Linked DNA regions of Macaca fascicularis. The protein of the gene in region 5 purifies or fractionates together with the protein of the main gene of each other region. This does not show direct contact. Links are inferred from orthologs where the notes say so. Each region holds a gene or a part of one and is shown on either strand. Other genes may lie near its edges. The genes, in order: GDI1, RABGGTA, CHM, GDI2 and RAB5A.

Evidence for each region.
Region 1: the proteins of RAB5A (region 5) and GDI1 purify together in Homo sapiens (affinity purification with mass spectrometry; 3 studies listed by BioGRID and IntAct, counting the BioPlex papers as one, with this or other methods). This does not show direct contact. The link is inferred for Macaca fascicularis from reciprocal best matches to the Homo sapiens genes RAB5A and GDI1.
Region 2: the proteins of RAB5A (region 5) and RABGGTA purify together in Homo sapiens (affinity purification with mass spectrometry; 3 studies listed by BioGRID and IntAct, counting the BioPlex papers as one, with this or other methods). This does not show direct contact. The link is inferred for Macaca fascicularis from reciprocal best matches to the Homo sapiens genes RAB5A and RABGGTA.
Region 3: the proteins of RAB5A (region 5) and CHM purify together in Homo sapiens (affinity purification with mass spectrometry; 3 studies listed by BioGRID and IntAct, counting the BioPlex papers as one, with this or other methods). This does not show direct contact. The link is inferred for Macaca fascicularis from reciprocal best matches to the Homo sapiens genes RAB5A and CHM.
Region 4: the proteins of RAB5A (region 5) and GDI2 purify together in Homo sapiens (affinity purification with mass spectrometry; 3 studies listed by BioGRID and IntAct, counting the BioPlex papers as one, with this or other methods). This does not show direct contact. The link is inferred for Macaca fascicularis from reciprocal best matches to the Homo sapiens genes RAB5A and GDI2.

The regions. Positions count from the first base shown.
Region 1 is NC_088395.1:160,436,948-160,440,902, reverse strand, and holds the start of GDI1 (rab GDP dissociation inhibitor alpha), read right to left. Parts: upstream 2,804-3,955; 5' UTR 2,709-2,803; coding exon 2,664-2,708; intron 1,397-2,663; coding exon 1,289-1,396; intron 1,157-1,288; coding exon 1,057-1,156; intron 916-1,056; coding exon 781-915; intron 1-780. UniProt on the Homo sapiens protein: Regulates the GDP/GTP exchange reaction of most Rab proteins by inhibiting the dissociation of GDP from them, and the subsequent binding of GTP to them. Promotes the dissociation of GDP-bound Rab proteins from the membrane and inhibits their activation.
Region 2 is NC_088381.1:92,086,096-92,090,327, reverse strand, and holds the start of RABGGTA (geranylgeranyl transferase type-2 subunit alpha), read left to right. Parts: upstream 1-1,422; 5' UTR 1,423-1,477; exon of another isoform or gene 1,478-1,715; 5' UTR 1,716-1,850; coding exon 1,851-1,853; intron 1,854-1,968; exon of another isoform or gene 1,969-2,019; coding exon 2,020-2,130; intron 2,131-2,508; coding exon 2,509-2,687; intron 2,688-2,824; coding exon 2,825-3,012; intron 3,013-3,271; coding exon 3,272-3,475; intron 3,476-3,812; coding exon 3,813-3,896; intron 3,897-3,984; coding exon 3,985-4,067; intron 4,068-4,155; coding exon 4,156-4,232. UniProt on the Homo sapiens protein: Catalyzes the transfer of a geranylgeranyl moiety from geranylgeranyl diphosphate to both cysteines of Rab proteins with the C-terminal sequence -XXCC, -XCXC and -CCXX, such as RAB1A, RAB3A, RAB5A and RAB7A.
Region 3 is NC_088395.1:92,559,645-92,563,154, reverse strand, and holds part of CHM (rab proteins geranylgeranyltransferase component A 1), read left to right. Parts: intron 1-326; coding exon 327-552; intron 553-3,510. UniProt on the Homo sapiens protein: Substrate-binding subunit of the Rab geranylgeranyltransferase (GGTase) complex.
Region 4 is NC_088383.1:6,738,709-6,742,737, reverse strand, and holds the start of GDI2 (rab GDP dissociation inhibitor beta), read left to right. Parts: upstream 1-1,221; 5' UTR 1,222-1,414; coding exon 1,415-1,459; intron 1,460-4,029. UniProt on the Homo sapiens protein: GDP-dissociation inhibitor preventing the GDP to GTP exchange of most Rab proteins. By keeping these small GTPases in their inactive GDP-bound form regulates intracellular membrane trafficking.
Region 5 is NC_088376.1:28,478,190-28,482,403, reverse strand, and holds the start of RAB5A (ras-related protein Rab-5A), read left to right. Parts: upstream 1-1,492; 5' UTR 1,493-1,957; exon of another isoform or gene 1,958-2,050; intron 2,051-4,214. Other genes in the region: uncharacterized protein, read right to left, coding at 152-319, 980-1,492. UniProt on the Homo sapiens protein: The small GTPases Rab are key regulators of intracellular membrane trafficking, from the formation of transport vesicles to their fusion with membranes.

The DNA.
Region 1 (3,955 bases), on a different chromosome or scaffold from region 5:
TGCACCAACGCAGCACAAAACTCTCCATCTCAGCAGGGCAGGCACCCCCACTCCCAGCCCAGCTGTCCTGTGACCTTAGGTTAACCTCTCCACCCTTTTTAGCCTCAGTTTCCCCACCAGGATGAAGAGGGGATTGGCCTGGATGGACTCTAAGGGCTTTCCTGGCTTGGACACTTGGGGATGTCTTGAGGATCCAGTGGAGCCCCTGCCAAAGGCTCAAGTTTTCTTTGTTGTTGTTGTTTTTTGAGATGGAGTCTTGCTCTATCGCCCAGGCTGGAGTGCAGTGGTATGATCTCGGCTCACCACAACCTCCACCTCCCGGGTTCAAACCATTCTCTTGCCTCAGCCTCCCGAGTAGCTGGGATTACAGGTGTGTGCCACCACACTCAGCTAATTTTTTGTATTTTGAGACAAGACGGGGTTTCACCATGTTGGCCAGGCTGGTCTTGAACTCCTAACCTCGTGATCCACCCGCCTAGGCCTCTCAAAGTGCTGGGATTACAGGCATGAGCCACCGTGCCTGGCCACGCTCAAGTCTTTCAAAAGGAGTCCCGTTCCCCTCCACGTCACATCCCTGCTGCGTGGGGACCTCCCTCTTGGCAGCCAGCCATGCGGCATGACATGGGGCAGAGGGAATACAGAGTGAAGGGCCTCTGGTCCTTCATGGGGGAATGTGACTTTGGACAAAGGGGTGCCTTACTCTGGACAGCCACCCATCCCAAAGACAGTTGGCTTCCCTGCCACCCCATGATTTCTCTGGCTCAGGGGGCCCACACTCACTGGAAGCCAAGGCCTCAGTCTCAGTGGACGGCACTTTGTAGATCTTGCCCCCCTTGTAGACAAAGCTGCCCTCCACCACCTTGAAGTCCAGGTAGCGAGTCACTTCTGTATACAGTAGCATCTTTACCAGCTGCCCTGTGGGGGTGCACAAGGGCAACATCAGCACGGCTCTCTCCAGAGGTTCTAGCTGGTCTGGCTGTGCCTCCTTTGGAGCCTGACTGTCCTTAGGTCTTCCCTATCACCCCCGACCTGCAATACCTCCTTCCTGTCCCTCACCGTTAGCCATGAGGAATTTGGGAATCAGGTCAACGTTCCAGTCTCGGCCTCGGCCCATGGACTCAGGGGGCCCCTCCAGCAACTGAAAACGCTTATACAGCTGTAAGCAGAAGGGAGAGAGAGACACCTCAGGGACCACCTCCTCCTGCTCCAGGCACCTGGAGAGCTACTTCCACCCTGTGCCGCTGTGTGGGAGGTTAACAGGGATGGGCCTGGGCCCAGGCAGCCTCACCTCCTCCAGGGGTGTGATGGAGGAGCTCTCGCCCCCGTAGTAGGGGTTCCGGTCCATGTGCAGCACCTTCTTCCCGTTCACAGACATGATGCCCGACAAGATGCATTCCTGGGGGAGGGCCACACAATCCGCTGCACTCCCACCTTCCTCTGCTCCTACCAGCAGCCCTGATTTGTTCCCCACCCAAACCTGCCTCAGTGGACAGCTCCTTCCATCCACCACCCCCACCGGCTAGTTGCCTCGCCTAAAATTGGGGTGATGGTTTCATCCGACCACACTCTCCATTGCAACCTTGCGGGGTAAAGGAGACCGTCCCCCTCACAAGGCAGACAGTGAAATAACGGAGGCTTTGAGGTAGGCAGGGCATCCAGCAGACACAGGATGGCCTTCCAGTACCAACACGCCGAGAGGCATCTACCTACGCAGAGCCGCACAAAAAGGCGGATAAAACACAATGTGGCACAGAGGGGACCCAGCTGGACTGCGAAAGACACTCCAAAGGGAAGCAAAGAAAGGCTTAGCACAGTCCTTGAAATTGTAGGCCCCACCCTGGACTGCTCTTTCTTCAAAGAGCAGGAGCCCCTGCCGCTGAGGAGGGGCATCTGGGTCTGGACCGAGGGAGAAGAGTCTCTGAGGGGAGTGGGCCAACGGGATTTTCGGGGAAAGGGGGAAGATAAACACCCTCACCAGTCACTGTCACTAGCCCAAGGACAAAGGCTGCAGATGCTACTCAGCCTGAGGTCTCCATGGGCAACCGAGGTGGGGTTGCGGGAATGTGCTTACTGCCCCCACTGCTGCTCCTTCTGGAACATTCCCTGGATCCCCTGGCCCCAGAAGACGACGAGGGGGTGGGCTGAGAGCCCACCCTGGCGAGGCCCCCTGACCCCAGGTCCTTGTACTTCATCCTCACAGGGATTAGCGCAAGATGGGAAGGGACGCTGGGAGGCAACGCTAGGCGGGCGATGGGTGCGGGCGACGGGTGGATGCCGTGATGGGTGGGGGCGATGGGTGGGCGGGGTGGGGGCGATGGGTGGGCGGGGTGGGGGCGATGGGTGGGCGGGGTCGGGGGCAACGGGCCGAGTGGGGGTGCGTTTTCCGGTCCAGAGGGCAGGGGTAGGGAAGATGGGAGAGCGCCGGGGGTCGGACCCGGGTAGGCCAGGGGGCGGCCAGGAAGGGGGCCCCTTCGGGGAGATGGGGTCATGGCAACGAACAGAGGCGACATCGCGGGGGGAGCAGCGGGGTGGGCACGGCGCCGGCTTTTCGGGGAGCCGAGCGCAGAAGATGGCAGTGACCGGAGGATGGGCCGGCGGCCGCATCATCGCGGGGAATGGCGAGGGCACGACGCAGGGCCAAGGGCGCCCGGGGCCGCACTTACGGTGAGGCCGGTCCCCAGCACGATTACATCGTATTCCTCGTCCATGGTCAGGCCTCAGTGGCAGCGCCCGCTCGGCTCCTCCTCCTCCTTCACCACAGCAGTAGCCACCGCCGCCGCCGCCACCGCACTGGACCAAAGATGGCGGAGCGTCGGCCGCCGCCCGACCCCTCCGCCGCGTCAAAGAGTCCCGCCTCTTCCCGCGCCCCGCCGCACCCGGCAGGGGACACCGCCTTCCCGGCTCGCCTCCCGGGAGGGCTGCCAGGGCCCGGGCCACAGCACCAGCGCGGCTCCGCGGGCGACGTTGCTCGCCGAGAGTCCAGAGAGGCTCGGGGCGGGGCGGGCGGGGCGGGCGGGGCGGGCCGGCGGCCGGTGCTGCGGCCCGGGAAGGATCCATGCGCGGGAGCCGGGCGCGCCCCGCCCCGCCCCGCCCCGCGCGCGCCCGCCCCGCCCCCCGGGAGTCTCGGCGCGGCCCCGCGACCGGACGCGCGCCGCTGCGGCAGCCGGGGGCGGCTCCCTCACGACGCGAAGGCTGCCATTGTCACTACGGCCTCCTGAGACGCCGAAGCGCACCGGGACTCGGCCCGACCACCCCTCCCTGACCTAAGCGGTTAGGGCCCAGCTTACTAAAGCCCCTCCCGGTCTCCGGGGATGCCTCCTAGCCTCCCCCTCTCCAGGCTCCATCCTCCCGCATACCTCTGGCGAGCACGCGCCAAAAGCTCAGCGCAGAAATGAGCGACAAGAGGCCCAACGCATGGCGATCCTCGTTTACTTTATTAGGAAGGAAACAACCGAGCACCCCCTGCTCCTGCCAGGCACTTCCGGTGGGAACATGCCAGACAGCCGACGATCGCACCCAGCCCACCTGTGGAGGTGCCTTCCTTCTCAGGCCACAGAAATAAACCCCAGTGTACTGCTTATTGTTAGCACAACATCACCAGAAAACGATAACGACAGCCAAGCAGGACAGTTAAGTAGAACTTCCACACCCCAAACTCAGGGAGCCCTATAACCTTAAGGAGGGAGCATTTGCTACACAAAAACACTATCCACAGCCAGGGATGATGTAGACACAAGAATAAATAAGGAGAAAGGGGACCCTAGAATTCATGTCCCTTACGCCTCACAGCGACTAAGCCTGGAAAGCTGGTTGGTCTAGCATCTACGCAGAATATGTACACCTTGTTGGGAGAGATGGGGGCAGCCCAGGAAAGCTCCTCAGCAGGCTGAAGAGGGAGCAAGATGGGCTGAGGGGAGCTTGGGGTTCATGCTGCGGTAGGAAGAGGGAAGCTCCA
Region 2 (4,232 bases), on a different chromosome or scaffold from region 5:
GTACATATGTAGGTCTATCAAATCAGACGGGCATTTTAGAGAACTTCCTCGAGGTGCCAATTGAGTTAAATTTTTTTTCTTTGTTCTGTGGAGTTCAAAAAGTTAAATCTTAAACAGGATTTACTGCAGCAAAGGAGGAGTGTAGAGAAAGGAGAGTCAAGGAGAGGGAACAGGCTAACACATTTAGGAAACTTCAAGTATTTCTGTAGGCTGTCATGAAGGGTTTTTGGCAGGGTCAGGCAGGACATACAGCCAGAGAGTAGGCAGAGCCCAAATGCCAGTAGGTCTGATGTGCTAAGCTGAGAGATTACAATTCTATCCTGAAAAAGAGCCACTCAGCACTTTCAGGCAGAGATAGGACATCAAATCTGCATTTTAGAAAAATTGATTCAGCAGCACAGAGGATGGACTGATAACAAGGGATGAGGTGGAGAACATTGAAAAGACTTTCAACAATCTGGATAAGAAATTCGGAGTTTGAACTTCTAGTGGCAGTGGGAATAGAGTATTTAAGCGAGTTTAAGAAGTGAGGAGGAAATAGTGCCACTCACTACAATAGAAAACGTAAAGGCCAATGTTTAGAGAGGATGGATGAGAGAAAATTTATACCTTTTGGCTTTTGGAGTTTGAGGTGTCTCTGGGACACCAGGTGATATCCAATAGGTGTTTGAATATGTATGTGATGTATATTATTTATTGTTATTTAAGCTTGCAAGACATCTGGGTTGGAGATATAAATTTGGGTGTCATCAATTTACAGGTAGTAATTAAAACAATGAGTGTGAATGAACTCACCCAGGGAAAGTGTAATGCCAGATTTGTGGGCCAAAACAGCTCTGAGGAGCTCCAACTCGAAGCAGTTGAACGCTTAAACATTCTCCCAGGAACAGTGTGTGAAGTGAAAAAGCAGTGAGGAAAGGACCCTTTGGAGATCACCAACATTTAGGGGTGGAGGTGAACAGATGAGAAGAGAGAGGCAGAGATGCAGGAGGAGAAGCCAGGATGGGGGTGTCAAGTATAAAGAAGTGGGTCAAATGCTTCAGAGGTTAGAGAAAATGACAGGCAACTCCACCTGTTAGATTTGACATATAGAAGGGTGTCGGTGTGGCCAGGGTGAGGTCAGTGGAGTAGTGAAGGTGCGGGTTTCTGGCTGTTGGAGAAACCTCTTCCACTAACTACACTACATTTTGAGTTGCCAACTGGCATGGTCCTCCCCACTATTTCACACGCACGGTACAGTCGCGCGTGCGCACTCGTACACACTAGGTGGCTAACAGGTACGAGGCGTTTCCAGACAGCGAGCGCATAGCCCCCGCGCACGCGCCTCCGAGCCGGCCTCCTCCGTCGCAAGTCCCTCCCCAAGCCTGCAGAGGGCGCTGCGTTTCGGTGAGCCAGGACGTGGCGCCGCTCTAGCCAGCGCCTGGGCTCTGTGGCGGGCGCCGCAGCTCCGCATCCCCCGCGCCTCCTCCCAGCGCAGGTGGGTCCGCCCGCGGGGGGCGGGGGTGCCCGGGAGCCGTGGGACGGGCGGGGAGCGGCAACCTTTGGTGCGCAGAGTGGTCCCTAACGCCCAGGTGCCCCGGCTCGGGCTCTGGCCCGGGCGAATCGGGCTGTAGGAAGGGCCATACGGATGGAAGTTCTAGTACGGGTGTTCGCCTCTTGCTGAATGTGCAAAGCCTGTCCCAGGACCTCTTTACACCCTAGGGGTCTCTGCCCAGGCACGCTTGCTGCTTCCGGGAAACCGCTGTGGGCGGTGCTAGTAGGGGGCGGGGCTACGTGATTGACACCTCTCTCCTCAGACTTCGAGGGCTACCACTGGACCCTTCCCCTGTCTTGAACCCTGAGCCGGCACCATGGTGAGAACCCTGAGCCCAGCCCTTCATCTCCGCACGCCCGCGCCCTCACCCGCAGTGGTCGTGCACTTGGTTGCCCCGTATGAACCTAGGGCTTCACAGTGTGGGGCTTTTGCAGGTCGGCTCCTGCAAGGCAACCTGCACTCTTCCAACCCGTTCATCCTTATAGCACGGACGCCTGAAGGTGAAGACGTCAGAAGAGCAGGCGGAGGCCAAAAGGCTAGAACGAGAGCAGAAGCTGAAGCTATACCAGTCAGCCACCCAGGCCGTCTTCCAGAAGGTGGGGCCCTCAGAGGTAGCCCCGACCCCAAGTAGCTCTCTTAGTATAGTATGGAGGCCAAGAGCTGGTCCCTAAAGTCAGACTGCCTAGATCCAGTTCTGGGTTCTCTCACTTATAACTGTATGACTTTGGACAAGTTGCTGGATCTCTTTGGGCCTCAGTTTGCACATCTGTAAAATGGGACTAATAATTGCACCTACTGCATAAGGCCGTTGTGAAGATTAAATGAGAGAATACCTGTAAGGCCATAAAGCATGGTTCATAGTATCTGTTGTATAATGTGGGATTCACAGAATATTGGGTGGTTTTGAGTTTACGTTATTTAGTCCTGTGGTGGGAAAGTGATATGATCTCTGACCCTGCCACCTATCTTCTCAGCGCCAGGCTGGTGAGCTGGATGAGTCAGTGCTGGAACTGACAAGTCAGATTCTGGGAGCCAACCCTGATTTTGCCACCCTCTGGAACTGCCGACGAGAGGTGCTGCAGCAGCTGGAGACTCAGAAGTGCGTAGGGATTCAGGATCTCAGAAGACTGCCCTGGCCCTGCGCCTACACTGCGTGGGTCCAGGGGTGGAGGAGGAATGGGGCAGCCAGTGGCATAGATGGAGGACAGTAGGGGGCTGGGTGCAGAAAGTGAGGGATGAGCTGAGGTTGAGTGTAGGAGAGCCCTGACCCCCCTTCCCTTCGGGGTACAGGTCTCCTGAAGAGTTGGCTGCTCTGGTGAAGGCAGAACTGGGCTTCCTGGAGAGCTGCTTGCGGGTGAACCCCAAGTCTTATGGCACCTGGCACCACCGATGCTGGCTGCTAGGCCGCCTGCCTGAACCCAACTGGGCCCGAGAGCTGGAGCTCTGTGCCCGCTTCCTGGAGGTGGATGAGCGGAACTGTACGTGCCTGCAGATTCTGTCCCCACAGCCCTCACCTGCCCACATTCTGGTACTGGGGCCTCAGTAAGGCCCAGAATGGGGAGGGATATCCAGGATGGGTCCACTGAGCTGGTGCTGAAAGGGATGTTGGAGTCAAATGCCTCCTCCGTGGAGTGCACTGAAGTGTTTCTAGGAGTTCTCTGAGGGGACTCTAGGGGTCCCAGCCAGGTAGCTCCTCTTGCCTTGCCTCTAAGATATGCTGTCACCTCTCCCCTCCAGTTCACTGCTGGGACTATCGGCGGTTTGTGGCCACACAGGCAGCCGTGCCCCCTGCAGAAGAGCTAGCCTTCACTGACAGCCTCATCACCCGAAACTTCTCCAACTACTCGTCCTGGCATTACCGCTCCTGTCTCTTGCCCCAGCTGCACCCCCAGCCGGATTCTGGACCACAGGGGCGCCTCCCTGAGGATGTGCTGCTCAAAGGTAAGCAGGGTGAGGGGTCCTCCTTCCTACAGAAGGGAGGACTCTGCAGTGCCACCCTTCCAGTCCCCATGCCTGACCCTGTTCCTGAACCTGTCTCAGGTTTATTGAGCACCTACTTCATGCCTGGCTCCAGGGGTGCCTAAGAATCAGTCCCTGACTGCAGGGAGCTCAAGTGTCTGATGGGGAAGATAAAACTGACATACATAGCCCCTGTGCAAGGACAGCATATAAGTGACACTGGGGGCTGGAAGTACTCCAAGGAGAGGGTAGGGTGTTGGAGTGGCCAGGAGCCCACCAGTGTCCTGACCACAGCACCATGCCTCCCGGAAACCTACAGAGCTGGAGTTGGTGCAGAATGCCTTCTTCACTGACCCCAATGACCAGAGTGCCTGGTTTTATCACCGTTGGCTCCTAGGCCGAGGTAAGCATTGAGGAAAGGGGCTGGGTGTTTAGGGCTTAGTAGGAATGGGAGAGGGTTTAAGGAAATCTGACACTGTGTCTCCCTGCAGCTGACCCCCAGGATGCACTGCGCTGCCTGCATGTGAGCCGGGACGAGGCCTGTCTGACCATCTCCTTCTCTCGGCCCCTCCTAGTAAGTCCTACAGCTTTTGTCAAGAGCACTGTGGGATTGTGGGCCTGGTGCTGATGGGGCTGAAGTCTGTCTTTGTGCTTTGTGCCAGGTGGGCTCCAGGACGGAGATCTTGCTGCTCATGGTTGATGATTCTCCCCTGATTGTAGAGTGGAGGACCCCAGATGG
Region 3 (3,510 bases), on a different chromosome or scaffold from region 5:
ATTATTGGCATTATCCTGCAGGTTTCATAACAATAAAGTGAGATTATTGCCAAATATGGTAACCCATTGAGTTATTTAATATTTTCCATTTTTTTAAATGCATGAAATGCTCAATCATATAAAGCTTAAAAATTGTGCCATTACTCCAAATTGGAGAGCGAGATTGTTTCCACTTTTTTCTAAGATCAACCATCAGTGTCCAAAATGTAATACCACCTACGTCCTTTTTGAGGTCTTTTGAAACACACTTCATCTCCTTTTTGTGGGGTGCTTTTAAATAGAAGTTTGGTTCTGATTTTAAGTGATAAAATTTCATCTTTTCATAGGATATGAAGATATTACATTTTATGAATATTTAAAAACTCAAAAATTAACCCCCAACCTCCAATATATTGTCCTGCATTCAATTGCAATGACATCAGAGACAGCCAGCAGTACCATAGATGGTCTCAAAGCTACCAGAAACTTTCTTCACTGTCTTGGGCGATATGGCAACACTCCATTTTTGTTTCCTTTGTATGGCCAAGGAGAACTCCCCCAGTGTTTCTGCAGGTAAGTTTGCCATTGGTTTTCTTGTCCCTTCTAAAGGTGATACTTAAATAACAGGTGAGAATTAGGAACGCAAAAATGAGATTTATTCAAGATTTAGTACATGCAAATATATACTTTATTTTTTTTTTTATAATTGATATACCTGGCTATCTACCCACCTAAGTGATATATTCAGTGTGGCCTGTTTTTGAGCTTTATAAAAATACTATAAGTTCCTTTTTCCACTCAATAGCGTGATGGAAAGTATTGTCATTGCATATAATTTTAGTTAATTTTTATTGCTACATAATATTTTATTGTGAATATACCACAGTCTACTTTTTCATTTTTCTGTTGATGTAACACAGGATGTTTCCAGTTTTTCTGCAGTTAACACCCTTGTGAATATTTCAAGTTATATATATTCAATAATTTCTCTTGGAAACATATCTAGGAGTGGAATTTCCAAGTCATGAGATACACGAATGTCAACGCTTTACAACATCGTGTTCAGTTATTTCTCTAGAGGGCTGTACCAATTATAACCTTTTAGCAGTACATAAGAATACCCAAAGCTTTTCATGTTTGCCAGTATTTAAAATTTTTTTGTCAATCTAACTCATATAAATTATCATTGCATTGGATTTTTATTTTTCATTTCCCTAATTAGCTGTGAAGTTGCGCCTCTTCTCATGTGTTTACTGGCCATTCATGTTTTATCTTCAGGAAATACTTGTTGTGTCTTTTTTTGTTTGTTTTACACATTTTTAAAAAAAATTTTATTTTTTGTGGGCACATAGGAGGCATATAAGTTTGTGGGGTACTTTAATATAGGCATGCAAAGTGTAATCCATCATGGTAAATGGAGTATCCATCCCCTCAAGCATTTATCCTTTGTGTTGAAAACAATCCAATTATACTCTTTATTTTAACATGTACAATTAAATCATTATTGACTGTAGTCACTCTGTTGTGATATCAAATACTAGATTTTATTCATTCTTTCTAACTACGTTTTGTACCTATTGACCATTCCCACTTAACCGCTGCCCCCTCAAAACCCTCCGCAGGCTCTGATAACCATCCTTCTACTCTCTGTCTCCGTATGTTTAATTGTTTTAATTTTTAGCTCCCACAAATAAGTGAGGCTATGCATTGTTTGTCTTTCTGTGGCTGGCTTATTTCACTTAATGTAATGACCTTCAGTTTCATCTACATTGTTGCAAATGTCAGGATCTCATTCTTTTTTTTTTTGAGATGGAGTCTTGCTCTGTCACCCAGGATGGCGTGCAGTGGTGCGATCTCGGCTCACTGCAACCTCTGCCACCCGAGTTCAAGTGATTCTCCTGCCTCAGCCTCCTGAGTAGCTGGGATTACAGGTGTGCCACCACGCCTGGCTAATTTTTGTATTTTTAGTAGAGATGGGGTTTCAGCATCTTGGCCAGCCTGGTCGTGAACTCCTGACTTCGTGATCCACCCGTCTCCCAAAGCGGTGGTATTACAGGCGTGAGCCACCGCGCCCAGCCAGGATCTCATTCTTTTTATGGCTGAATATTACTCCATGGTGTAACTGCACTACATTTTCTTTATCCATTTATCTGTTGCTGGGCACTTAGGTTGCTTCCAAATCTTGGTTATTGTGAACAATGCTGCAATAAATGTGGTGTGCAGATATCCCTTTGATACACTGATTTCCTTTCTTTTGGGTATATACCTAGCAGTGGGATTGCTGGATCGTATGGTAGCTCTAGTTTTGCTTTTCTGAGGAACTTCCAAACTGTTCTCCACAGTGGTTGTAGTAATTTACACTCCCACCCGCAGTGTTCAAGGGTTCCCTTTTCTCCATATCTTTGCCAGTATTTGCTAGTGCCTTTCTTTTGAATAAAAGTTATTTTAACTGGGGCAATAAAATATCTCATTGTAGTTTTGATGTGCATTTCTGTGATGATCAGTGATGTTGAGCATCTTTTTATATGTCTCCTTGCCATTTGTATGTCTTCTTTTGAAAAATGTTTCAGATCTTTTGCCCATTTTTTAGTCATACTATATTTTTTTACCGTAGAATTGTTTGAGCTACTTATATATTCTGGTCATTAATTCCTTGTCAGATGGGTAGTTTGCAAATATTCTCTTTCATTATATGGGTTGTCTTTTCACTTTGTTGATGGTTTCTTTTGCTGTGCAGAAACTTTTTAACTTCATGTGTTCCCATTTGTCAATTTTTGCTTTAGTTGCCTGTGCTTGTGGGGCATTGTTCAAGAAATCTTTGCCCAGACCAGTGTCTTAGAGGTTTTCTCGAATGTTTTCTTGTAGTAATTTTATAGTTTGCAGCATTAGATTTAATTCTTTAATCCATTTTGATTTGCTTTTTATATACAGCAAAAGATAGGGGTCTAGTTTCATTTTTCTTCATATGGATATCCAGTTATCCCAACACCCTTCATGGAAAAGACTGTCTTTTACTCAGTGTATATTCTTGACACCTTTGTCAAAAATGAGTTCACTGTAGGTGTGTGGATTTGTTTCTGAGTTGTCTATTCTGCTTTTTGGTTTATGTGTCTGTTTTTATGCCAGTATCATGCTGTTTTGGTGACTATAGCTCTGTAGTATAATTTGAAGTAAGGTAATGTGATTCGTCCAGTTATGTTCTTTTTGCTCAGGATAGCTTTGGCTATTCTGGGTATTTTGTGGCTCCATATACATTTTAGGGTGTTTTCATTTCTCTGAAGAACGCCATTGGTATTTTTATACAGATTTCATTAAATCTCTAGATTGCTTAGCATAGTATGGACATTTTAACAATATCGATTCTTCCAGTCCATGAACATGGAATAGTTTTCCATTTCTTTGTGTCCTCTTCAATATCTTTCATCAGTGTTTTCTAGATTTCATTGTAGGGATTGTACACTTCTTTAATTAAGTTAATTCCTAGGTATTTAATTGCACTTGTGGTTATTCTAATTGAGATTACTTTTTAAA
Region 4 (4,029 bases), on a different chromosome or scaffold from region 5:
TATTTGGTGACAAATATACACAATCAAATTAAGGTTGAATATAAATTTAAACTTTACTTTTGCTTTCTTCTCCCCTCCCCTTGCAAAAGGTCCATGGTCCAATATAACACATCTTCTCCAAGTATTTACGGGTTAAGAAACATTTTTAAAAGTTGTTACATTCTCTCCTCAATCTTGATGATTTAAATATGAGCAAGTTCGGTCTATCAAGGCAGGCTCATGATAGCTATTACCGAGAAGTATTTGAGTAGTTCTTGAATGCCAAATCTTCATTGTCTGCTGACTATGCAGATTTATCACGTGCTGAAAACACAGGTTTTCCAACTGTCATCGCCTTTAGGAAATTCACCTGCCTAGGCTTTCGTGGGATTTGCCTCTTGGAGCTGAGAACACAGCTTCTGCTTACACCCGTGTCCTCAATGAAGTTAGAGATTCCTAAGAGAATTCTAGAAAAAGAGGAGGGGGTTAGAAGGCAAGCAAGGTAGTTTCTAAGCTTAGGGCCTAAACCTTTGCATCCAAGGATCAGCTACCACGTTTACAGTGGCTTTAAGTTATAGCCCTGGGTAAGTGCGGATCGGCTTCCCAATGAAACCTGGCCTTCACTTTCATCTCCGTTAAGGGTTCCTTTTAGCAAAAGAAGCCGCTTTTCCTCCTACCACTTTCCTAAAGCGCCCACCGGCAACGCACCAAACAGGGAAGGCACAGAGCGGGAAACAGGACACGTGTGATTTCCGAACTCTTCCCGGCGGGCTCCGGGCCCCGGCGAGCCCAGCCCCGCGGGAGGAACCAAGGCCGCTACCCGCGAGAGGCGGCCGGACCCACGTTCCTCGCCCACGTGGCCGCCGCACGCACCCGCTCAAAGTCCAAGGACGGCGGTCCGGCTCTGGGACCTTGGACCGAGCGAGCTCCCGCCCCGACGGCGGGAGTCAGAACCGTGGTGGCCGGCAGTACTCCCCTCCCGCGGTCCCGTGCGCCTCCACCCCGGTCCACGCGCCGCCTCCCAGACCCCGGTGGCAGAAACCGCAAAGGGAACCGGAAGCCAAAATGGCGACGCCCCGCCCTTTTCCTCTCGCGAGAGGCGGGGAAGAAAAAAAGTTGGGCGAGTGACGGGGACAAAACCAATTAGAGTGCCGGAAGCGCCTGATTGGCGGCCCTCCCGGCGCCTGCAGGCCCCGCCCCGGCTGCGGAGGCTCAGTCACCGCCCTCCCCTCCCTGCCCCCTCCCCTTTTCTCCCCGCCCGGTTCTTCGCTTCCCGTCTGAGGTGGCGGCAGGTCTCGCCTTGTCGCCAGCTCCATTTTCCTCTCCTCTCTTCCCGTTTCCTTCGCGCCCGAGAGCGCCTGCCAGCCTCGTAGGGTGGTCACCGAGCCCCTGCGCCTTTTCCTTTCTCTGGTTCTGCGTCCGCGCCTGCCCCGCCATGAATGAGGAGTACGACGTGATCGTGCTGGGCACTGGCCTGACGGTGGGCGCCGGGGCTGAGGGGCCGGGGTTGAGCAGCCGGGGCGGGCGCATCCCCGGCTCCTGCACGGCCCGCGGGTCGCAGCTCCTGGGGGCTTTCGTTCTGCAGTCACCCGTGGTTTTCGGGACGGGAGTCGTGGCTGGGGGCACGGGCGGGTTTGGGGGCGCCCCGCGTCCCGGGACGATCGGGCGACTCCCAGTGTGAGGGGCAGGCGGGGAAATGGAGATGCGGGCCGCGAGGCTCCGGGCGGGGTAACGGCGGAGCCCGGTCGCTGCGCTTCCCCCTTGCGGAAGCGGAGTGGAGGGAGAAGGCGGCCCGGGCCGAGGCTCCCGCTCCCCACTTTGGGCCAGTGACCTCTCCGGGTTGGAAACTAGCACCCGAGGCGGAGGGGACGGTGCAGGCCTCGCGGTTGCATTTCCTATTCCGCCTCGGCCGCTTCCCCGGGTCTGTCTGGCTGCCAAAGCCGAGCACGGGGTTTCCTGACAAGTCTTGGATAATCACTGCTTCGGAACTGCTAGGGCTTGATTAACTTATATTTTTGGAGAAAAGGCAGAAATTAGGCTTTTAATCCTTTCTCCCCCCTGCTAATAAGAAGTATTATTGAATCTTTTTAGCCACCCTCCCTTCCCACTTACCGAGCATCTGTAGAATTGGAATTGAGTTTTTTCAAAACTTGTCTATCAAATGCTTTCGCACCTGACCTTCGCCGCCTTTTCCTTTTGTTTGGTGGGTTCCCTGCCTCCTTTGTCTCTTCTGGACTCTTTTCCCCTAAGAATTGGATTGGTGATGGATTGCTAAAGGCCAAGTTCTCTGTACTCCGCAGCTTTCTTCAGGGAGTTGGAAGATAAATCAGTAACAACATGAAGAATGCATTGTAGTATATATATGAATGCAAGGTGTACCTAATACCATGGTATATTGATTTTCCTGGTTATGTGTCTGCTTAGAGAGCTTTAGGTTAACTGTAGATAATGCAGGCAGGTTCTGTAGTTTGTACTTTTTCTGTTTTTTTTTTTTTTTATGAAGACTTCATCTTGCAAAAGAATTTGGAGAAAACCATTTTAACTATCGATTTTTGGGAACTTTGAAATTCTAACTTTGGGCTGCTTGATCATAATTAAGATGAATACTGATGTAAATCTTGTGTATCCTATGTACTCTGACTTTAAATTCCTGTGTCATTTAATGTAGACTTCCACTTCAAATTTTTTGAAATTTATTATAATCTGTCAGGTTCAAACTAATGTTTTTTTTTTTTTTTTTTTTTTAACAGGTAACATCCCAAAATAACACTTTCAAATGTCTCTAGTCAAGAAAAAACCTTTGAACTTTTATTTGGCTAATTTTTTAAGAAAGGTTTGTTAAGACTTAGAATGGTGTTTTTCTGGCCTGTCATTTTTCTGTTTATAGTTATATGCAATTATTAGAGAATATTCATTCAGAATACTTTGTTATGTTTGACAAATTGAGGAATAATCCTGTCAATGTCTTTGAAAAGCTGGAAGACTGTTGGATGCCTAAATGAATAGGCCCTACCCACTGCAGGTTTTGTGCTTTTTTTTTTAAGTGCCTAATTGGGATTCCAAACTGCGCTTAGTAGTTTGTGGTGGATTTTGCCCGTTGGAATGGGTAGTGCTGCTGCCAGCGTGTTGTTAGAGCCGGTTAGTTCCACCGTTTTTCTATGGTTGTTGCTGGTCTTTCAGATTTGCTCACAATCGAGGTCAGTTGAGCATGGACGAGTGAGTGCAAATCCACCATCATGCAGGCTTCCACAAGCCCCATTCACATCACTTTGTATCAAAGATGGTGAAACAGTCTTTTTATATAACAAGTTAAGATAATGCACTTCGTTTAAATTTTCATTTGGATTGTGAACTTTTTGATAAATGGTAGATGCATACTTAACTAGAAATCAGACCAATTTCTGCTGTCATTTTGTAGCTGTGATAACTTTAATCTCTGTTAGCCTGCCTAAGTTTTCTGAGATGTTCTTTGATAATTATATCAATTCAGAAGAATCACATTATTACCATCCTTGATAGGAGTAGTGATGACAGGATGATTTTGATAATGAGAAATCTTATATCCTTATTTTTAGTGTTACCAGGAATTAGATGACTAAAAATTAGAAGAAGAGAAAACCAAAGTTAGCACTCAGAATTAACTTTTGAGTGTCTGAAGTTAAATTAATTTTCTTGAAATTTACTTTATATTTAGTGCCTGAGATTTAAGAACCTAAAAAAGGCAAGTGCTTTCAGTGCTAGGAACTTGTTACTTTTAAAGAAGTGTAAGGAAGTGCTGGAGTTGCTGTGTTGCTTAGTGCTGCCATTGTTTGTATGAGTTGTTAAGTCCAAGCTCGTAATCACAAATATTGATAGTCATTTTAATCAAGAAGATACAAAATGATTTGGCATAAAGGAGTAAAATCTTCATTCTGTGTGTAAAAGAAATGGAATATTCCACACAATTTAATTTTCTGAGGAATTAAGGGTTATCTCTAAAGAGCACAGCTTTTGGATAATGCCTTTCTAAATGCTGTCACAACTTCTCTAACAAACTAAGAAACATAATTT
Region 5 (4,214 bases):
ACTGCAAACTGAAAAGTTGCCTTTATTCTGAAGGAAAATCAATTTAATATTCTTCTACCAAATTACCAAAACAATGTTTCTGGCGGAGGCTGGGGAGGGGTTGGTGGCAGAAGCCTTTCCAGAGACTGACTATGGTATGGGATTCACATCTTCAGTAGGTCCCCCGAGGAGGGTAACGACGTCTCGGGTAGTCTTTCACCAGAATTGTGTTCAACAACTCATGTTCTGGAGCCAACCCGCAGATCAGAATCCAGCTTAGGCACCACACAGCAGTGATCTCGGACAAGTTACTCAATCTCTTGTGTCTCAAATTATTTACCTGTAAAATATCTACAACTAGAACTGAAAACTTGGCTGCCAGGCACTGGGCTGGACACAGATTTACAGCGGTGAGGACAACCAAGGGGAACTAAAATTCGAATGTAGGGAACAAACGATTAACAAGTTAGTTTCAGAATGAAAGACTCCTAGCGTAAGAATTCAATTGGATAATTCCTGTAAAGCATTTAGTACAGTAAAGAGCGAAGAGAGATTCTGAATAAAAGGTAGATGCTATTTTAGGATTTGGCCCTCCCCGCCCCCTACCAAAACCACGTAAACTCTTAATAGAAGCGACTTTTGTCAGGCGCCTAAAGGCGGCTTTTAGGATAGGAAGGGTCCTCTCTTCCTACTTGGGGTAAATGCGTTTTACCAGCCTTTACCGACCCACCCAACCCCAGGGACATTTTTTGGGGGGAGGTTCTCTAGTGCTAGACAAGTTCTCTCTAATAAAGCCCCTTCGACGAGGTGCCAGGATTGGGGTGAGGGAACCTTGCCGCTCCCACAAGGGCTGGGCACAAAAAACAAACAAAAAAATAAGATATTTTGGTCTTCCCCCAAAGCATAGTAAAAGAATTTCCCCCGAACCCGGCCGCCGGGAGCCCAGAGACCCCCCCAGCCCAAATAACAATGGCGCTGGAGAGGGCGTGGCCGCGTGTACCTGGGGTGGGGGAAGGGGAGAAAGGCGGCCAGCTCCGGTCAGAGCCACTCGCAGGGTCACGTGACATCTTGCCTCGCCCCGCCCCGCGAACAGACCTGGGCGGGGAGGGATTCGGAAAGGGGCGGGGAAGCGGATGGAGCGGGGGCACTGGCGATGACGGGAAGTGACGAAGGGGCGTAGTTCGCTGCGTGCGGCGACGTGGCGGCGGGGCCGACACCGGACAGCGGAAGTGGCTCCGGCGGTGGGACTTGAGTGTTTGTGTTTTGGTTCGTGAAGGAGCCGGCGGCTGGCCTTAGGGGAGGAGGCAGAGGGAGGAGGAGGAGGAAGACTTCGTCGGAACTCCAGCGCCGGCGGCGGCGGCGGAGGAGGGGAAAGGAAAGAGGAAGGCGGAGCGGCGAGAGGCGGAGACGGAGCCCGACAGGGGCGGCACCACGGCAAGAGCCCCGCACAGTCCAGTGTGAGGGGAGCGACGCGAAGAGCAGACGGCGCCGCCGCCGCCACCACCACCGCCATAGACACACACTCATCCTACGGGCCACGCCTGGGCCTTGGTGCCAGGAAGCTTCGGCCCCGCAGCCCGGCTTGCTGCGGTCTCAGGTAACCGAACCGCCTCTCCCCCTGCGCAGTGGGGGTCTGGACCCCAGGTTATCCGCGATCCCCAGCCTGTCCGCGGCCCTGCGGGTACTAAGACCCCCGCCCCTTCTCCCTCATGCGCAGCAGTAGCCTGGACCAGAGAACTATCGAACCCGGCGTCTTGTTCTGCCAGCCCTGGTGACTCATCCTCAAGGGGCTCTGGAGACCGGGATTTGGGGACTGACTGAGGGAGCGACGGGTGTCACCCTTTCCCTTCTCAAGATGGCGCCGTGGAAAGTGTACTGGAGGCCGCGGTTCCGCCTGGTCCCTGTGCTGGCAGTCCTGGGGGTCTCGGTCAAAGCCAGCCAGGTTCGGGGGAGGAGGTTGGAAAGGCCAAGGGACCTGGTGAGTGGTGCTTATCCAGGCGATCTGGAGTTGGCTATAAGCTACCCTGGTGCTCTCCAAGCAGGAACCCGGGCCTACTGCAGGTGTGAATGTGGGGAGCTCCGCCTACCTGCAACTTCCAAAGACGTGTAGTGTCGGTGGGTGGGAGACTCGTCAAAATGGGCCGTCTAGAGACTCTTGTCTTATGTATGGAAGGTAGTGAACTACAGCGTTAAATAAATTCGAGATAACAGGACCGCTGAACTCCTTCAATGGGTAGTGACCATGAAACTTGTTCTGATGTTATCTTTCCTGGAAGCTGTTTACCTCTGAGACTTTCAAACTTTTAAATTCTGAACGTCATAGTTCACATACTTGGTTTTTGTCTTGCTTAAGTGGAATCAAAGCGTTCAATCAGTTGCCTTTTACATAATAAGAAAAAACACTTGCACATCTCTGGGAATACTCAAGACTGCTCATAAACTTTATTCCTAAAGTAAAATGGAAATGATAACTCAGCATTTGTGTAAGCAAAGTACATGAAACAGTGCCTGGCACAAAATAAGTGCCCAATTTTTTGATCAAAGAACACTTAGAAGGATTTTAACTATAGAATGAATAACAGTTATTTTCAAAAGATTACAAATGTATATTATGCAAAATTCTTGTTTTGCAAAACAAGTTTCAGTAAGCAGTGAATACAAATGAATACACGTAATTTTTAACCTTCGTGTTATGCTAAGTGTGTATTTACTATTAACTCTAGTTATTTCCTGTTTGAGATCCTCAAGGGGAGTAGCCACAGTTAAGTAACTTTAAACCTTAAAAGTCAAAGTGAAATCAGAATCTTGTTTGATTTTTTTTTTTTATGGGAATCTGATGTTTTGCCTGAAATTTTGAAAGTACCGTAGAAATTTGGAGCATGTTGTCCTTGATAAGTAATTTCGTGTTTTTGTAGATAAAAAGACAAATGGAAAATGTTTTAATTGATACTGCTTGTGTAATATCTGAAGCTGTATTGGTGCATTTTCAGTACATATGATGTTCTCTAGATATTTTCTTATCAAAGGACCACGTTATTGACAATTTCAATCCCTACTATGTTTATTAGAGATTGTTTACATGTATTGTTTCATTTAATTGTCACAGCAGCTATGCAAGTTAGATATTATGGGAATAGAGACTTGGAAATTAAAGAATTTGCCCAGGCGGAAATTGGTATAGCCAGGATTAGACCCCCAAGTCTGGTATGTTTGTGGGGAGGGGGATTTTTATTTATATGTCGTTATTTAGAAGCAACTCAGATATTACCTCAATTAATCTGTACATATTTCAGAATGTAATGGTAAAAGATAAGGACTCTAGAAAGCTGGTGTTTAGTTAAGGCAGGGAGGTAGTTTTATTGCCTTAAGAACTAAGATCTCGTGGACATGTTAGGGAATTCAGTATCAAGAGCATATTATAAACTGATTTTATGGGAAAGGCGTATTTCTTTCTTTTGTTTTTAATATAGAGACAGGGTCTCACTGTTGCCCAGGCTGGTCTCAAGCAGTCCTTCTTCCTCAACCGCCAAGTGTTGGAATTTACCAGTATAAGCCACTGTGTCCAGTGTGAAAGACATATTTCTTACATGAGGTAGCTAAGTGAAATATAGCAGGGTTTTTAGAGAGGGAATCATCAGGTTTAATATATTAGCATATATTCGGATTTTGATTAAAGATAGAAGGAAACTGTTAAGATTGGTTTGTGAGTGGATTGAAAAAGGTTCTTCAAATATTCACTAATTCCTTAGAGATTAAAAATTAGCACAGAAGTTGCCATTCAGGCTAGATTTTTTAATGTGTTGTTTAAATAAAAAATAATGGCCTGCAGGCTGGGTGTGGTGGCTCACACCTGTAATCCCAGCCCTTTGCGAGGCTGAGGCAGGAGGATTGCTTGAGCCCGGGAATTCAAGATCATGCTGGGCAACATAGCAGGACAGTGTCTCTACCAAAAAAGTGGCCTGGCATGGTTCTGAGCGCCTGTAGTCCCAGCTACTCAGGAGGTTGTGGCAGGATTGCTTGAGCCCAGGAGGTGTAGGTTACAGTGAGCTATGACCATGCCACTGCACTCCAGCCTGGGTGAGAGAGCAAAACCCTTTCTCAAAAAAATTCATAATAAAAAAAAAAGTCATGCATTTTTTCTTCTAAAAACTACAAAAAAGTTACAATTAGTGTAAGTAAATAAGTCAGTAATAATCCCACCACATAGAGAACAACTGTTAGCATTTCTGTGTATG